Linked DNA regions of Drosophila melanogaster. The protein of the gene in region 1 interacts with the protein of each later gene in a pairwise test. Each region holds a gene or a part of one and is shown in the gene's direction. Other genes may lie near its edges.

Region 1 (3,825 bases):
ACGACTTAACCACCTTTTGTTATTTTGCCTGCGTAGCCCTGTCTGTCACTTTAATCTGCCTGCCACACGCAGAAGAGCCAGCAAGGAGGCGAAAATCCAACGAAGGACACTCACATGGTTGAAGTTTGCATGCCTGGCGAGGCTTGCAAAGTTATTAACACGCGGCTCCGACTTAAATAAGTCATATTCCAGCCGCCTTTCGGGCTCAGCTCACTGCCTCCTTGACTGACTTCTTGTCTGGCTTGCAAAGGAGGTGAGGAGGACATTAATGGGGTTTTCCTATTAATTGCACGACTGGCCTGAAAGTGAAAGCACTGAGCAAGAAAAGTTGGCCAAAGACCGATCCAACGTCTGTGGCAAAAGTGGTTCGTTTAAGTTTAGGGCAATAATGGTAGAAATTTTCACAAATCATGTGGGAACACAATGACACGAAAAATGTATTAATTTTAAGTTAAGAATTTACTCAGCTTGGAATTGAAATCGATTTGATAATTGACAGGTATGTGATAGTCAAGCCGTTTATTTCACTACTTCCCTAGCACACCATGTAATCAATGAGATTGTACAATCTTTCCATTAACGTTCCAAAAATTTCTTACAAAATTATGCGTTTCGAGTAAATGTACCTTAGGGTACCGATTTCGATTTCTATCAATAAAAGTTTTGTGAAATACATCTACCGCTAATGGAAATTCATGTTTCGAGGACGGCCATCTGCGTTGGCTGTCGATGAAGGCAAATCCTGTTGCAAATGTCGCTACATTCGTGCGACTTGTTTGTAAATTATAAAATAATGCCGGTTGCATTTCCAACGACGTCTGCTGCTTCTGATTTTCCACTTTTCCGCTTTTGTTTTTCGGATGTGGTCATAGGCTGAGGGGGCGTGGTGGGAGGGCCTGCACGGCAATTTTTATGCCAAAGTGGCACATATTTGGCTTAGCTTTTAAACATCGCGACTAGAAATCATACCTGAGCACCAGTGGCAGTGGCAGCATATACTTTTTTGGGGGCAGCTAGTTTTTCGGCTGATATATAAAAAAGGTTAGTGGAGTTGAAACCCAACTGAAATAGGGCCCCCTTAATCCCCCCCAAGATCAGCCTCTGGCTTTGAGCAGCCGATGTGATGTAGCAGTGAGGCAGTGTGGCATGTCTGCCACGGCAGCGTACTCGACTGTCGGCGCTGTCAAATAACTGACATTACCTTGCCGCCACAGCTGCACCACCGCACCACCTCCACCCGGCTTGTAGAGCCGGTGAGCCACTGCACCACCGCAGACGACGCCGTGTTGTCGTCATCGCTCCAGAGCCGCGCACTTTCGTGACTATGAACAATAAAAATTTCGATTAGAATGTAAGAGCAACAACCGTTCGCGGCAACTTCAGCTGCTGCAATCAAGTTGTGCGCGGCCCGATCGGCAATCCGTGGACCCGGGCTTGAGTGGGGGAGCTGTGTGCCACAGACGTAGAATTATAATAGGAAAAAAGAGCTAAATTGCATATTAATAGAAATTGAAACCTAAATGTTATGCAGCGCAAAGCGTGCGGTAGACAACCATTTCATTACATTGTCCTGAGCTGAGAAGGGTGGCAGCCGTCGAAAGGGTGGTGCAAGGATATGTAGGACATACCCATGCAATCAAGGGTATGTCGTATTCATTCACATTTAAACGAAAAGGGGAAAATGAACCTAAGACTATTCATCTCATTTGAGTTTTATGTCAAGAAACGAAAAAGTTTATTGTTCGCTATTCCAACACACAAACTTAAACACTTTTCATAGACTTCAAAGTTTATCGGTTCTGAAGCCAGCAAGGTGTTCCATAAATCGTCCCTGACGACGTATTGAATTTGAATATTGGCTACACAAGAAGGTAGGTTCATCTGCCCCATAAAGATTACTATCTGTACTCAGAAGAGGAATCCTAGGAAAGAAGAGCACTGCAAAATGGCATTTCTGGGCAAAGTCAACAGTCAGGGAACCCTTATCGACCATGAACTATTCTGCATGACCCAGCCCAGCCAGCAGGATTCAGATGGCCAAGCCAGAGAGATGGGGGCTCGTGTACTGCTACCGCGAAGAAAGGGTTCCAGGACTTTCATCAAGACCTGTGACAAGGACAGCCTCGTGCGCTCTATGGGTAGCCCCAGCACAGTGCGCTACGTGGGCAGCTCCGAGTCGTCCAGTGAAGTCAACTCATTGGACGAGACGGAGACCTCCACTCTGCGCTGCTGCTCGGATTTGTCCCTGGGCACCCTGAAGTCGACCAAGACAATTGAGGGGCCCCGCGTCGGTGAACTGGGAGAGGATATCGAGCTGCAGACGGAGTCGGAGACGGTCTGCCTGCATCTGGGCAGTCCCAGCAGTAGCACCAGCACGGACCGGAGTAGCTGCAGCAGCCGATCCTGCCCCTCTTCCCGCAGCGGCAACAATTCCAGCGACAAGGACTCGACGACCTCGATGTGCAGCTGGGAGGAGGCCATGTCCCGGGACGACAGCATGCTGGCCCCGCTCGAGTTGCCACTAAGCCACAGCCTGCCCTCGCTGCGCCTGGGATCGAGCGTAGGATCGCCGCCCCTTACCTACACCCGCCGCATCGAACCGCTCCATATCCGGCGGTCCGCCGGTGAGGCCTACGAGAACTGGCTGTCCGGCAAGCAACGCCAGTGCCAGTACAAGTTGCAGGCGCAGCAGGCCGAGAGAGAGGCGCAGCGGCAGCGAACGGAGCTGAGGCAGCGGCTCGCCAAGGAGAAGTACGAGCAGTGGTGTCAGCAGAAGGCGCAGCAGACCACCAGTACCGCCAAGCTCACCAAGCCCGACCGTTCTGCCCAGCTGCCGCCGCAAAAGAATATGGCGTCTGTGCAACATCACCTGCAGGAGTGGGAGCTGCACAAGCTTAGGCTGCTCGAACAGCGTCGCCTCGAGCAGCGGAATGCCGAGCGGCGGCGCCAGGAGGAGAAGGCCGCCCGCCGCTCGCAGGCGGAAGAGGCCTTCAGTCGGTGGATGAGCAACGTGGCCCAGAGGCCCAAGCCCGTCCCCTCCAGCCAGGGAATGAAGTCGCTGCGCGGCACCGTTTCCGACATCTTTATAAACCCCAAGCAGTGGGTGAATTAAGCTGGTCGGATTTGAAATGGTCGGAGGTGGGGAGAAGTGTATGGCCTGGACAGGCTGCCTAAAAGGTGAGAGTTAGCTCGCCCTGTGAAACCAAAGTTTTAACAAGTGTAACCATATTTATTTATTTAGCACTATTAAATACCCGAAAAGAATGTTTCTTGGTTTAGTTTTCTAAAGTCATAGTAAGCCTTAGATAATTGTAATTTTGATAAATTTCCATAAGTGAATATGTAGAACAGTTTGCACCTTAAAGATGATCAGTTTACTAGCTCTTAGCAGTTAGTGGCCACTTGCTCATTAGTGGGTCAAAAGCATTCAGTTTACCGCTACACAATCATACAAGGAGAGTCGGTGGTCCGTTAATGAGCTGCATTAAGCTGACCCCACAAAGGAGATGTTGCATGCCCCCGACGGTACACATGCTCATCATCATTAGCAAATGCTATAAATCATATATATCCAATTTGACCGTCTAGGCGATATATGTCTATATTCAGTCTCAAAGTGTTCAAATGCATTTACAATGCAACAATTTATGTGAAATTTCCATAGTAAAGGCAAGAGGTAGAGAGATATAGTTACATCGACTATAAGATATCCATTACTTGCATCGCTTTGCTCAAGATTGCAAAGATGATTGAATATGTCTGTATATTTAATGAAATAACATTTTATACACTACTGCTATATATTTCTCAAATTTTCACTCACAA
Region 2 (4,922 bases), on another chromosome or scaffold:
TTATCTGTCCAATCCTCGCTATCCTCCCAACCGCCGTGATTCATGGGATACGGTTTCAAGCCATCCAGCTCAAACAGTTGTCCATTGATAGGCACAAAGCTAACGAAGTGAAACGCCTCACCCGTGAAGCGGCAACTTGAGACGCCCGCTCCCGTCCTTTCTAGACGGCGCCGAGCCTGCGGCATTGCGTGTGAGTTATGGGCACAGGCCAGCTCCGGAGTGTTGCCAATAGCCAGCCCCTTGTTCTCCGGACTCATGCCTTTGGTGTGGGTTTTTAGTCGACTCAGGGTGTCGCCCAGCTGAAGATTGTTCTCGTTGCAGTTCAGGAGCACCGAAAGCAACGCGTGTGTGGCACAGCTATTGGGGACTACCTGCTGGGCGAAGAAAATGCTGGAAATGGCCTCCTCATCCTTGACGAATATCTCAGCAGTTGTCTCCACAATTTTGCGTCTGGCGCGTCGCTCTTCGATCCAGCGGAAGAGAAATATGAAGCCATATGGACTCTCGATGGGTTTCTGTAGGTCGTACACCTCCTCCACCTGTACATCGTGACCTAAGGATAGTACATATTTTAATAGGATGTGTGGAACAAGGCATATTCAAATAGATTACATCCAAAATCCTTGAGAAGCAGTGTGAAGAGACCTGGGTCGGACTCCAGCTCCAACCAACCGTCTGCCAGTTGGGCCATAGGCATGGTGGTGGCTCCTGAGGCCGTGGAAAGTAGCGCATTGTGGCTGAGACTGTTGTTGCCTGCCGCCACTGCGGCCGCCTGGGCACCACTACCTCCTCCAGCAGCGTTCATATTTGTATGGCTTATACAATTGCTGCGAAAGTATCCGAGATGTTACTTTAATTTCGTTTTTCTGCACAGAGAAGGATATACACATGAAAATCTATCAAAGGAATGTTTACGTATAAGTTTATTTGTCATTAATATAATAAACAAATGAAATAGTTACCGGTTATACTCATAAAAACGTCTTCAATAGTTTGTTTTCATATGACATTTATTGTTGCATAGAGCATAAGTACGTTGGTTTGCTAGTTTTAGGAGCAATCCATATACTGGCGATGTCCGTCCAGAAGTTAGGGCCGTCGGCTGCCGGTTATCTTCTGTCCCCAATTCATTTTAAATATAAAAATATTACCGATTTGGACCAAAATAGTTTTTTGCGCTTCCTCTTATCTGCCTTAGCCATTCACAGGATCACGTAAATTTCAATAACGATAATAATCCATTGCGCGGCGAATGGCATGCAATTTTAACGATCTGGCAGCGCTTGTATGAGTTTACAGTCAGCTGTTATTCACGTAACTTTTACTTTTGCCTTGGCTTTTTGGTAGAAATTCAATTGCTGTTGCTATGGTTCGACCAACACTAGTTGCGCTGGCTAAGCGCGTACCGCTCATACACTTCCGCAAGGGTGGTGCAGGAGTGCCGGGCGCCCAGACAGCAAACCAGAAGGCAAGTTCCCAGGCCGCAGGAGGCAAAAAGGTTAACCCAGCCCATTTCATTTATACACAATACCACGGCTTCTTCTGTGCATCATAACTAATCTTCGTAATTGTCCCTTCTACATTTAGTTGGCCGGTGGACCAGCAATTGAGGACTACGAGCTGCCGGCACGATTTGCCCGCAAGCCAATTGATCCCGAAGAGGCGGCTTACATTAATAATGGGGGTATTCCAAACTGAAGGGGCTCTCAAAGTATGCTGCTTATAAAATATAACACATATTAATGTCACATCTGTTGTAGACGTCTCGGATTATCACACATGTTTAGCGTAAATTATACAAGTTCGAATTAAAAAGATGAAAATAAATTAAGTGCGGCGCCAGAGTGCCGTTGTTTTTTTTTTTTTTTAATGACCGGAGCTTTCGTCGTTCGCTGCGAATGGCATTTGGGGACCGTCGAGGAAGAACAAGAGCAGCGAGCACCACTGCTCATCTGAAACGAAAGCCAATCGGTCGTGATATTTCCACACGCGCAGCTGCTTTTCGATCGGCTCTGTGTTCGTTCGTTTGTTTGTGCTATAACTGCTACCCCCGCCCACTGCGATCATCCGCCTTGCCCCCGCCCCCCGCAGTTCCCGTGCGCCGCGAACAAAGAGTGGAAAATTTTGGTGTCAGCTAAAAAGGAAACCCTTTAGCCATCTTATTTGGGCCCCGTAACGTTGCGGCCCCCCGTAAACACCGGATTCGTTGTATCCCCCACCTGGATGGGTGTGAGGCGTAGTATGCCAGTGAACTGTGCCAACAAGGACTGCCTGGGTCTCCGTAAGCGTGTCTGTGGTCTGCATCAAACGTGGAAGTGGCTGCATCAGACGCCCGCCCTGCACGAATACCTCATCTCGGCCAGCTCCGTGGCTGCAAACACATCCCGAGCCACTAAGAACGCCACAGTCTAAAGTCCAGAGCGACCAAAGCCATTTAAAGACCAAAACGAATAGCGTAGATAGTAGACCATACATAACCTAAAGAAGAGCACACACGGACCACACAGAACCAGGCAGACGACAACCGTAGAAACCAACCAACCAACCAACCAATCAACCAGCCAAAAGCTTTTTTCGACACCATTGACCTTGTTTCGCTTGCAAGTGCATTGTGTCCCAGATCACCTGGCAACAGAAATCACACACACCCGTACGCCCCACTTCCTTGTGTAAGCCATGAGCATGCTGTTGCGACGCAATTCCAGCCAGCTGCGGCTACTTCTCTCCTCCGCCGCTCAGGCCACGCGCCTGGCATCCAGCGGAGTGGAGCCACCATCTGCTGGACAGCAGGAGATTAAAAAGCAGAGGCGCCAGCCACCGCCCGTGGTTCCCGATTCGGAGATCAAGAAGTCCGTGTTCATCTCGCAGTCCAGCGATGTGTTCACCAACCTCGCTCTAGAGGATTGGCTGTACAAAAACTTTGATTTCAGCCGCCACCATGTGCTGCTGCTGTGGGCCAACGACCCGTGCGTAGTCATTGGTCGCCACCAGAATCCCTTCACCGAGGCTAATGTTTCGCAGCTGGTGGAACGCGGCATAACACTTGCACGCCGCAATAGTGGCGGTGGAGCGGTGTACCATGATCTTGGGAACCTCAACTGCACCTTTTTCTCGCCCAGAGAGCGCTACGATCGCAAGTACAACCTGAACATCGTGACCAGGGCCTTGTTCCGCGAATGGGCCATCAAGGCAGAGATAAATGAGCGCGACGACATTGTAGTGATGAATAAGAAGGTGAGGAGGAGCGGTGGCTCTTATCAAGGAATGATGCGACCCCGGCTGATCCCTCACATTGGCATCAGCTCACTTAACCAACAGCTGGGGCTGTGCATCTGGTCTTTATTTGCCCACTCAACGAGTATGCCCTTGTTCAATTACAGATTTCCGGCACTGCGGCCAAGCTGGGACACCCGAACTCGTACCATCACTGCACCATTTTGGCCAGCGCCAACAAATTGCACTTGGGCGAATCTCTGGTGCGGGAGCCGGCCAATTATATTAGCAAGGCCACGGCTTCGGTGCCGTCGCCCATTCGCAACCTGGTTGATGTCAATCGCACGGTGAACGTTGCTCAGCTGCGTTCCGCCGTGGGTTACGAGTATTTGAGAACGGCTGCAACTACGCTTGAAGACGGCGGCAGCACACAGACGATGCAGCAGCGCGGCTTTCAGCTGGTCAATCCCACAGAGAAATGGTTCCCCGGCATTGAGGAATTGCGCTCCAACTACAGCTCTTGGGACTGGGTCATCGGCAAGACTCCCAAGTTCACCGTGCAGAAGGAACTGGAGGTGAAGGGCGATGAGCAGGACATGAAACTGAAACTAAGCGTGGAAGTGGAAGCGGTAAGATTTGTTTTGCCCTGTTTTAGAGAATTATCACTTATGATTTTACTAAATTTGTAGGGATTAATGAAGGAGATCGGCATCCAGCTGCCGCAGAGCGATCAGCTCGTCCCGGTGGTGACTCCGCTCCAGGGCAAGCCCTACAACGAGGAGAACCTGAACGGAATACTTGGCGCCCTTAAGCTCGTCAGCGCATCGAATGTGAAGCAGGCAATAAACGGATCAGCTTGATTACTGTTGTGCTAGCTCGAAAAAATTAACAAAAAAATATATAATCCATTTCTAGAGCACTAACCACGCTAACGTAGTTATAATCTTTCCAAGAAACCATATTACTAACCTAGTATTTAAGCGGTTTACCAACAAACTATTTACTTTTGTTACCACGTTTTATATAAAAGAACTGCATTAAATGTTTAAACATTGATTATTAAAGCATACTGCTGTATTATTTAATACTAAATCAAAAAGCGCAGTATGTATAAAAATAGTTTTTATTTTGTATAACCAATGAAACAAAATGGATTTGTAAAAATGAATACAAAGCTTATATGCTAAATCTTTAAGGCACTTGTTCGCTTTCTTTTGACACAAATTGGTTGTACATATGATTAAAAAATATATTACAAGCTATAAACATGAATACTAGGATACGGAACAACAATAGTGATCTGTGGGTTCCAGATCGTTAATACGTTGAAAACGAAATAGAAGACATTGCATAAATAGCTACAGAAAATTGCACTCAGAACGGAAAAAATGGAAAATGGAAACTGGCTTAAATGTGAACCGTTTGCACCAATTCCGGCAGGTTTTGGTAATCAGGATCGCGGGCGAAAAACTCGGTGAGATAGACAAAGGTTGGCCGATCTTTGGGTCGTTCCTTCCAGCAGCTCTGCATCACGGCATAGATGTAAGCTGGACAGAGATTGGGCTGCGGCAGGCGTTCGCCACTGTCCACCAACTTGATGGCATCGACATTAGATATTTCCCCATATGGCGGTGCGCCGAGGGAAAACATCTCCCAGATGGTCACGCCAAAGGACCACACATCACTGGCGTGCGAGAAGATGCCCAGGT
Region 3 (3,466 bases), on another chromosome or scaffold:
GTGCATCCTTCTGGGCAATCAGATCGAGCACCATCTGCTTGGCGTGCTCTATCTTCTGCGCCTCGCCGGATATGCGAAGGGGTTTGATCAGCTCCTGGTTTGGTCCGTCCTGGATGATGATCATTTTGGCTCCGGTCTTCTCCTGCAGCTGTTTAATGGTATCGCCGCCCTTGCCAATGACCAAGCCCACCTTGGCGCCCGGAATCATGATCTCCTGGTAAGGTGGATACCCGCTAGGTCCCGGTGGCGGCATATTGATCGTCAACAGCACCTCCACCTGTCCCCCGCCAGCCCGATTGGCCATGTTCTGAATCATTTCGCGCCCCTTAGTGACTGTATCCCTTTGACCACGCAACATGATAACGCGATCTTGATCCTGCATGACCTGCACTTTTACACCGGACTCGGCCTGGATGTGGGTGATGGTGTCGTTACTGGAGCGACCCATAAAGGCGCCGGCTACCGATTCGGGCAGACGGATCTGCTCCTCACAGCTTGTTCCCGCCGAGGCGGCCAAACGAGCGGCTACCGCAGCAGCCTGGGCGATTGCCTGAGTAATACTGGCACCGCCGGGACCTCCGCCGCCGCCACCACCACCCCCGCTACCGCTGCTCATGTTGGAGCTGTTGTTGGCGTACTCCGGACTGCCCAAGGAGCGTTTGGATTCCGGACCGCTGTCGCCGTCGTCGTTGATACGCTTAAAGCCAGGCCCTCCACCCGAAGACGGTGGCGATGGACCCGCTGTGCCGCCGCCCTGCTGGCTGGGCTGGATCTTGGCTGCGATCTGGTTTGGGGATTGGGGCAAAAGAAGCCGAATCAATGCCCACTTCCGCTTCTTCCTCTTCCAAGTGGTGGGAACTCACCTGCTTGGCACGCTGAATTGCCTGCGCGAGTGCCTGCGATTGATTGATGCCTTGTTGCTGGAAGTCGCTCATAGTTCTGGGTTTATAATAGGTTCAATTCGGTTCTTTATGGTTACCACTTGTTTTTTTTTTGTTCTGTTTGACCGCACGCGTTGAAAATTCAATAGCCGAAAGCGACGATTTTTTCACAAATGCTGAGGAAATACTATAAACGCTTCCTATGGCATTTGTTTAAGTGGCTTTCGAATGTCTACTCTGCCTTATTGTTGAGCCGTTTTTTTCATGCGCTTCTACGTTTTTTTTTTTAATTTTTCTTTCGGCTTTTCAGTGAAAATTATGCGTTTGCAAAAAAATTGTGTAGCATTATAGCTTGATTGGAGGCGTTTTTTCACCCTCATGATTTTCACTGCAACGGTAACACTGCGCATAAGATATTCACGGTTTTAGTCCGCGCTTTTGGTATATTTGTGTTAAATTAAATATTCAATGACTTATATGAATTTATTTGAAAGTAAAGGATCTACTTAAACTTAATTTCTATTAAGCCCAAGCTCCCAATTTGTGTGAATTTGCCCAAGGAAATGCATATTGTTTTCACAAGTTACAAAGTAGAAGCATACAATTTCTATACAATTTTTTTCCTTTTCAGAATATTAAATGTAATTGTTTGGCCTTAAATTTACGTAGCCAATAGCTAGCTTAAGTATAAGGTATTAATTATAATCCTTATGTTTTATTAAAAAAAATACAAGTAAGCGTTAAAAATCTATTTGAATGTATGGTATATTTGAACGATATTTACTCAAACTCCGGGTCACCCTGTGTTGCAACTACTTGAAATACTAGGAAAAAGTCAGTATTTTCATTATATGTTTAAAGACCGTTTCCCGCGAAGGTCACTCTGTTCTTCTTTCGTCGGCAACGTTGCGCAGAGCACGGCTCCAGATTTGTTAAACGCGAATTTACCCCACAAAAACGCATTTAAAATGGCATTCGGTGATGTGACCACCCCGCAGGGACTGAAGGAGTTGAACGCCTTCCTGGCCGACAACAGCTACATCAGCGGGTAAGCACGCGTCATTAAATGTGAGGTTATGTACGACCTCACCACGTCGGCAGATGTATTGATCGAATAATTTTCTACCCATTACTATACTCCCATTAGATATACTCCCAGCAAGGCCGATCTGTCCGTGTTCGATGCTCTGGGCAAGGCCCCCTCTGCCGACAATGTGAACGTGGCCCGCTGGTACCGCCACATCGCCTCCTTTGAGGCCGCTGAGCGTGCCGCTTGGTCGGGTACTCCTCTGCCCCAGTTGGCCGGTGGAAAGCCCACAGTGGCTGCTGCTGCCAAGCCCGCCGCCGACGATGACGACGATGTGGATCTATTCGGATCCGACGACGAGGAGGACGAGGAGGCCGAGCGCATCAAGCAGGAGCGAGTTGCCGCTTACGCCGCCAAGAAGTCTAAGAAACCCGCCCTCATTGCCAAGTCGTCGGTGCTCCTCGATGTCAAGCCCTGGGATGACGAGACCGACATGAAGGAGATGGAGAACAATGTCCGCACCATCGAAATGGACGGTCTGCTGTGGGGCGCCTCCAAACTGGTCCCAGTCGGCTATGGCATCAACAAGTTGCAGATCATGTGCGTCATCGAGGACGACAAGGTGTCCATCGATTTGCTGCAGGAGAAGATCGAGGAGTTCGAGGACTTTGTTCAGTCTGTCGACATTGCTGCCTTCAACAAGATCTAAACATCTGAGATTCTTATATTAACAATAAACTTGAGCAAAGCGAACTAAGCAAATATAGTTGTCTTCATATTTAAATAAAATATTTCACATGAAAGCTGCAATAAGCCAATCATAATTCAGATTGTAAAAACACATCAGTTTTATTGGAATAATGATTGAAATTTTGTAATTTTCACCAAAAAGTATACTTTTATAATCGGTAAAAATCTCTAATCTCTTTAGTTGGCTTGCTGGCTCTCTCAAGTTCTCAGCTTAAGTCTTCCGTTTTGAAGCTTTCGGCGAGCTTTTGTCAACAAAAAAGCGAAGCTCGTAGCACTTTCAGCTCAGTTGATCGGGCAGCTCGATAGAGGTCGGTTGTTTACAGATAGTTGTGATACTGTTCAGTGACTTTTCAAATTGCATTTGCAAACAAATATTTTTCGGACACAAGTACTGCTTATAATGGCTGCCAACAAATTGTGCTGCACTTTGGCTATTGGCGCTCTTTTGTGTCTGGGATTCGCAGCCCTCATTCAAGCTCAGGGTGAGTTAAATACATCGAAAACTATATATTTACATTATATAGGCGAGAACATTTCCGTTCTTGTTATTGTTCGCGAGACGTATTTGTTACGCATTTGCTGAGATTTGCTTTTAACACGAAATATACAAATACCTGATCGTCTGCATTCATTAACATTAATTAGCAATTGTATAGATATTTGAGTCTTTTGTTCTGCGCCAAGACATGTTTCGTTCTTGAGCGGATTTCCCAGATATATTTATCCATCCATCGTGTTTGTCGCCATTTGCATACGACAAGTATCTGGAGGTTGACAAACGTCCATTTAAACTCGGGGATTTCTGATC

Evidence for each region.
Region 2: the proteins of CG14011 (region 1) and Lipt1 interact in a two-hybrid assay, tested with the Drosophila melanogaster proteins (one large-scale study listed by BioGRID).
Region 3: the proteins of CG14011 (region 1) and eEF1beta interact in a two-hybrid assay, tested with the Drosophila melanogaster proteins (one large-scale study listed by BioGRID).

Annotation. Positions count from the first base shown.
Region 1 is NT_033779.5:5,579,012-5,582,836, reverse strand, and holds CG14011 (uncharacterized protein), read left to right. Parts: upstream 1-1,720; 5' UTR 1,721-1,871; intron 1,872-1,926; exon of another isoform or gene 1,927-1,934; 5' UTR 1,935-1,945; coding exon 1,946-3,112; 3' UTR 3,113-3,257; downstream 3,258-3,825.
Region 2 is NT_033778.4:16,195,105-16,200,026, forward strand, and holds Lipt1 (lipoyltransferase 1), read left to right. Parts: upstream 1-1,937; 5' UTR 1,938-2,223; coding exon of another isoform or gene 2,224-2,412; 5' UTR 2,413-2,676; coding exon 2,677-3,234; intron 3,235-3,380; coding exon 3,381-3,842; intron 3,843-3,902; coding exon 3,903-4,073; 3' UTR 4,074-4,274; downstream 4,275-4,922. Other genes in the region: caly (calypso), read right to left, coding at 1-553, 613-805; CG44242 (uncharacterized protein), read left to right, coding at 1,367-1,498, 1,588-1,698; CG42837 (uncharacterized protein), read left to right, coding at 2,224-2,412; Shark (SH2 ankyrin repeat kinase), read right to left, coding at 4,621-4,922.
Region 3 is NT_033778.4:16,866,463-16,869,928, forward strand, and holds eEF1beta (eukaryotic translation elongation factor 1 beta), read left to right. Parts: upstream 1-1,759; 5' UTR 1,760-1,849; coding exon 1,850-1,929; intron 1,930-2,028; coding exon 2,029-2,617; 3' UTR 2,618-2,818; downstream 2,819-3,466. Other genes in the region: Psi (P-element somatic inhibitor), read right to left, coding at 1-784, 864-935; CG6426 (uncharacterized protein), read left to right, coding at 3,059-3,140. UniProt on the Drosophila melanogaster protein: EF-1-beta and EF-1-delta stimulate the exchange of GDP bound to EF-1-alpha to GTP.